2 linked regions of the Bombyx mori genome follow. The protein of the gene in region 1 interacts with the protein of each later gene in a pairwise test. Links are inferred from orthologs where the notes say so. Each region holds a gene or a part of one and is shown on either strand. Other genes may lie near its edges.

Region 1 (2,360 bases):
CAGAAGGCCAATACAACTGCTCTATGGCAAACCAGAGGGCCGCAGAAGTCGTGACAGACCCAAACTCCGATGGTTGGATGGCGTGGAGCGCGACCTCAAAGTTATCAGTTTCAGGAACTGGAAGGAGAAAGCCCTGAACAGAGCAGTCTGGAGAGACATACTGGACCAGGCTAAGGCTCACCCAAGGATGATGATAAAATGTTAAGTTAGGGGAAATTTGAACTTGGTCCTAAAATTCCTTGGGCCCGCAGTCTGCTCCCAACACTTGCAGATCGTGAAGTCCCACATGACCACTAGGTGCGGTGACCCCGTAGGAGGTTTGGCACCCGGCACGAACAAAAAGGGAAAATTTCAACTCTGTGGTTAATTTTTTTTAAGTATGTAAACTATATTATATCAACACTCCAGGTGTAAAAAAAACCTACTCAGTTATCATGTAAAATAAATAGGAAATAATTAAACAATTCACCTTTCTCAGGATAAGTCCATCATCAAAATCTGGGGGCTGTCCAGGCTTTTTGGTATATACCCTGATAAGAGACAGATATTCCCAGAGTATCTCTAGCAGATAATCCAAATTCAGTTTCATATTACAACTGGAATAAAATACAAAACGAATAAATATTTTTTGTGATTTACTAGTAGGCCCAGCAGTTATTCTGCTCTTAATATACAAAATTCTGGAAACGAATCACAGCATCACCTACAATATCCAATTAACGGAGGGGCGAGTTTGATTAAAATCATAAGTGAATTGTAAATTTAAACCATAGAGAGAGACCTACATAAATAAAATAAAAAGAGAACTGAATAAGTTTAAAGTCGTTCACGAGATCAGTGACAAAGAGATAGATACAATGATAAAAGATACAAGAAATAGATACAAACCACATGAATTTAAAAAGTCTTAATTAAATTTTGAATATGAACCTTGAATATTTTATACAATTTGGAGATAAAACAAATTATTAAGTTCTCTCAATCGTTTCTAGTTGCTAACTTTGTCTTCTTATTGGTATTTTGGTTGAATAAGAACTAAATCTAAGCAAAGTACAGCTCACCTAACGACTACAGAATGCGGTTGTCTCGCTATCCTGTCGACTTCCTGGATGGAGATCTGATCTATCTTGTTGTAGACGTAGAGGCAGGGCAGGTACACTCTGTTCGCGAGTATAACATCTATGAGCTCGTCCGGTGTGCAGTCTTCACGGAACAGAACCTGCGTTTTTTTTTTATTAAAACTGCGGGTACTAAATAATATTCTAAAAACACAAATTTTGTACTACACCTAACTACTACGAAGGACATTATTGCGTAATAAAATGAAATGGGCTAAGAATTTTTAAAAAATAGTCCAATTGTGATTAGTAGAGCGTACATTGCGTGCCCATATGAATAGGTACCACCAGCTTTTGTCTTATACAGTAAATTAGCTGGCAGCCGTCCACTGATTTGTCAGGTTACCAATATTTACCCCTCCTTTGAACACATTTCACATAATAGTATTTGCCTAGTTTCAAAATTGCAACAGCTGTCAAGAGTGGCATACATATTACTGGCATAAGCACACTCTTCAATATGTAAATACATCAAATCCAAGTGAAACCAGTTTCAGTAGGAAAACAGGGGATCAAACTTTGATGCCCGTATTTAGTCAGTGTTTAGTAACTATTGAAACTATTCTCAGTCAGAGTCTGAACTTTTATTAAAGATTCAGGGTTTAGTTTGTATTTGTTCTTGTGTCCTGGGTTTCCAATATGCATAATCAAGACTGGGCTATGTTGAATATCGAATGGAGGTCTAATGGTCTTATACCTAGGTTTGCCTTTGTAGGTAATGACTATATACTACATACCTCAGCATTAAATATCTTGTATTCATGTAAGATCATTTGCACCATTTTCTCATCAATTTTAGTTAGTTGACAAGTTGAGTTAAATGATAAGCCACCACCTTTTTTCACCTGTAAGTTAATGAATTATTTTTGAGGTAATTATAGTTTCTGACAAATTTTTATGTTATTACTACTGTTTATGTGGACAATGACTCATAATTTTAACTCCAGTTTGAAAATTACAATTAGAGTTGTGTTCAAATTAACTAGACTTAGATTTCACATCTTGAACTTACCTAATTTCTACATTATATTGTCATAGAACTAATAAACCCGAGACTAGGGATTGAATTAATCTTCGGAGTCATATACTTCCAATTTTTGGGTAAACATAAAAATTCTAGAAATATCAAAACTGACAAATTTCTTAACATAAAAATTACAAATTAACAACTGAATAAAAAACTGAACTTTTAAAAATACTCTTTGAATGTACAGAAATAATAATATACATCTATAGTAAGTG
Region 2 (4,381 bases), on another chromosome or scaffold:
ACAGTGATGATGATAATGGTCAAGATTATGATAACGAAAAAAAATTACAAATACCAGCTTCGCTTCAACTGAACGAAGACCTGGCAACAGCTCTAGTTTTGACTTAATAGAAGGAATATCTATTTTACCCCAAAATTAAATTATTATAATTATTAACCTATATTTTTTGTTGATGTTCTAATAAATATATAAATAAATACATATGTTGATTTTAATAATTTAATTGCATTATGATGCAGAGTAAATAAGGTTTTTGCACGTGAGTGTACCATGCGCAAACTTACCCCCACTACGTCAACAAATGCTCAAGAAGTTTGCCGGCTATTATAACAAATCACAATGACAATTCTTTGGAAGCAGTTTTAATAAATACATATCAGAGTGAATATTTTAAGAATTTTTTTTTTCATCCCTAAGTTGTATGATAGAGAATAATAATTATGGGTGACTTCTAGTGAGTTTTATTCCAATTTTTTACATATTATTGTCTAAGAGCTTTTAGAATCTTATTTCTGAATTTTATATACAACTAGTGATCCGCCCTCGCTTCGCTTCGGAAACTGTAATTTATTATTTATATCTCCACTATTTAATGGATGTTATTATACATATAAACCTTCCTCTTCAATCACTCTATCTATTAAAAAAAAACGCATCAAAATCCATTGCGTAGTTTTAAAGATTTAAGCATACATAGGGACAGACAGATATAGGGACAGAGAAAGCGACTTTGTTTTATACTATGTAGTGATACCAAACTGATATGGGTATGATAAGACTTAATAATAATAAAACATTTATTTCAGAAAAAATCCATAAAATAATAATAATTAATGAATAAGAATTAATATTCCAATAGCTAGCCAATGAACCTTAAAAATGATAAATATTAAGTTACCAGTTCTGCCTCTTCATCTGCCTTTTGTTTGGCTAGTATCCTTTCTTCACGCTCTTTCTTAACTTTATCCCAAGTCTCATTAAGCCACTCTTGTCCAGCTGACACTAATGTGAATACCATGACCATTCCCAAGTTTTCTTTACCCTGAAACACATTAATGGAAAACAAGGAAATAAGCCATAAATAATCAAGCTTAGACGTTCTAAAGTAAACGACAGAAATTAAAAGGTCTAAGATGAATCTAGTGGTTTTGTTTTTTTCAATTTTTTTTTATTCAATATTATTATGATTTTAGTGCCTAAAAGCAATTTCATTTCTTTTGATTTCTGTTGTTTGTGAGCTCTTATTCAGTATGTATTTCTGTGGTTAAATTTATATCTGCCTGCAGAATTTGAGTTCTAGTATAGTCAGACTGCTTATACATTCTTATCCTTAATGACACAACAACAATAATATAGTAAAATAAATTTTATTAATATTTTTGCTTCTTGATTTTTTCAGTCATTATCTATCTAAATTTAAGGTCCAAGATTCGATTTACCACAAATTGAATTTATTATGCACATATAAACTTGTAATAAAAGGACTTTTTTTTTACTTTTCACTTTAATTTTCAAAATGTTATCAATTCCATTTACATAAAACAAAACATATATGTCATTACTAAAAATTAAATGAAAGATTTTACAGTATCAGTAGAGCTGGGGATTTTCCTAAATCGAGATCAATTCAAACAAAAATTCATATTTTCAATCCAATATCAATTATTTGAAATTGTGTTAAAACAGATTAACAATTATTCACAATTATTGTACCATTTACACAGTACTACAATATTACTATATTACTATCAAAACCATGTTTTACAAGTACTGCTTCCTGTACAAGTAATAACTATGGGCAACTGGTTGAAAGCATGCCGCTGGTTCTGTAATACTTAACATACTTTGATAATATGATTTTCGTCATAGTCGTCCATGAGCACTAAACATAAAAAATTTTGGAAATCATAAAATAATATATTTGAGATTAGAATTTTAATGTGATATACATTTTTATCAAGTCTCAAAAATTTAATACAGTAGGTAATCAATGTTAATCTGTTTGTCAAAAACTAAAAATGAAGACTTATTTATTAGATATTAAATAATAATGTATGTATGTACTTTATTATATGTAGACTTGACAAACATAAAATATCTAGGTTTTAAATCATGCACACCAACAAAAACTGATAATGTTCATTGTAAAATAACAATTCAATTAAATATATACAAATTATGTATATACTATCTTTACCTGTTCAGCAAGATGTGTGAGAAGTTCCTCTTTATCAACAATATTGTCGAAATTCTCCTCATTGTCAATTTCAATAATGGGTAATTCATCAGGATACTTTGATGTGTAAGTAAATACTAGATGGCAGGCCAACCCCTCTCCATCATCAAACCCCTCTGACTTTATAGGTATACTAAATTTGTGAAATGGTTTTGTTTCTATCACTACAAAATAAAATAACATGATCATTAATTAATAAAAGTGAAGCATGCATGATTAACTTTTTCCATAAAACTGTTTTAAATATGCATTGCTTTTAAATAAAAGAATCGGTACACAGTTTTGGACTTAAATCTTGCTTCTTTAATTTCAACAAATATAAACATAAAATTTTATTCCTTTTTTCAAATGATCTAACCTGCCATATCGCCGAAATAAATAGAATCTAATGCTTCCACTTCACTAGTTTGTTCGTAATTGTAATCCATGATTTAGGTCACAATTATTAATGAGTATGTATTTTTAATTTACAAATTTTTCACGTTTTTACTTCAAACAATTTTAAAGTTTACTTTACTCTTTAAATTGAGAATGGTTGAAAAGAAGACATAGAGTATATTAATGAAATAAAAGACATTTAAGAAGTCTTGCCACGTTTCGCTAATCTGTGTTTAATTTTTTCTACCTCACTTAAATTACTGAGACTATATTTCATTCCATATCATCTGATTTCCTTTCATTTCATCCCATTTGATTAATGTCTCGAATTGATCATCTTCATTTCATTTCATTTCACTCCATATTATCACTTTTCATAAAAATAAGAATATGTATATAAATTAAAATAAGACATGACTTAAAGGTCTTAGTTACCAGGTCATGAAATCCCTTAAAAAAATACCTCACCTATAATAATGAGATTATTTATTTCATCCCATATCATTTCATATCATCCCAGTTGATTAATGTCTCAAAGTAATCATCTTCATTTCATTTCCTTTCACTCCATATTATCACGTTTCAAATATGAATATAAAATAAGTCATGACATGGAGGTCTTAGTTACCAGGTCACAAAATCCTTTAAAAAAACCTTACCTATAGTTACCTTAGCTACCTCTTCCTCACCACCTCCCTATCGTCAGCATAATAACAGAAACACAGACAATACACACTAACCCTGTTTTCCAATTATAGCACTAGAGCGCATTATGCGGCATAATGCTCAACGTTGATTGTTCCAACTACAGCAACGCTTCCCACAATCGAGCACTCTCAAGCATAATTCGGCATTGTGCGCCACTGAGTCGCATTATGTCGCATTATGCTATGTAATTGGAAAACAGGGTAAATGATTTAAAATATGGTGGTTAGAACCTTCCATAAATTTTAAATATATCAAGTTCCATAACTTACAAAATAAGACACAGAACCTGCTTGTTTCAAGCAATGCGATTAATTCGTATTCAAATTTCACAGTTTCTTTACTACATAAACTTCTACCAAATAAAATAAAAGTTTATTAACGAATTCCTCAACCAATAATTATTTTATGTACCTACTGAAAATCTTTATCCGTTTTTATTGGCCTTACTGTGATGTCTAGTCTGGCGAATATTACGGTTTTACATAACAATAAAACCGATATTATGTGCCGAGAAGGAAAACATACAGCATTGTATTATGAAGAAGCAGTGTGTACTTAGCTTAAATTCCTTGTCTATGTCCAACCATTGACAGTCAATTTAGTTCCATCTTTAGCCGCTAGGTGCTGCCAGCAAGTATAAAGGAAGCGCAGCCATCTTTGATCTTCATAGTCTTCACCAGGAAGAACTTCCTGCAATGCTGTATGTTTTCCTTCTCGGCTCATAATATCGGTTTTATTGTTATGTAAAACCGTAATATTGATGTGCCTTTGGAAAACATACAGCATTGTATTATGAAGACGTGTTTGTTATCTGCTGGTGAAATTATTAAGCACAACGCTATGATGAAATAGGTAAAGCCATAATAAAATTATGAAGCGCAATGTAATGTTCATAATTTATATAATTATTAAATCGAAAAAAAACAGCTGTTAACTTTCATGTTAACTCAATAATTAAAAAATATTTTTATGTTTGTAATAAACATTTTATCTTGTATATACATCATGTAGGAGTAAATGTTTTGAAAAAATAATCGTGAGGATCTTTAGGAAGTTCTA

The links. The genes of interacting proteins can lie anywhere in the genome.
Region 2: the proteins of developmentally-regulated GTP-binding protein 2 (region 1) and RWD domain-containing protein 1 interact in binary tests that used the Homo sapiens proteins (3 or more experiments, as listed by UniProt). The link is inferred for Bombyx mori from reciprocal best matches to the Homo sapiens genes DRG2 and RWDD1.

Annotation. Positions count from the first base shown.
Region 1 is NC_085123.1:13,400,569-13,402,928, reverse strand, and holds part of developmentally-regulated GTP-binding protein 2, read right to left. Parts: intron 1,964-2,360; coding exon 1,856-1,963; intron 1,220-1,855; coding exon 1,062-1,219; intron 597-1,061; coding exon 470-596; intron 1-469. UniProt on the Homo sapiens protein: Catalyzes the conversion of GTP to GDP through hydrolysis of the gamma-phosphate bond in GTP. When hydroxylated at C-3 of 'Lys-21' by JMJD7, may bind to RNA and play a role in translation.
Region 2 is NC_085115.1:12,170,989-12,175,369, reverse strand, and holds the start of RWD domain-containing protein 1, read right to left. Parts: upstream 2,811-4,381; 5' UTR 2,665-2,810; coding exon 2,595-2,664; intron 2,401-2,594; coding exon 2,198-2,400; intron 1,043-2,197; coding exon 899-1,042; intron 1-898. UniProt on the Homo sapiens protein: Protects DRG2 from proteolytic degradation.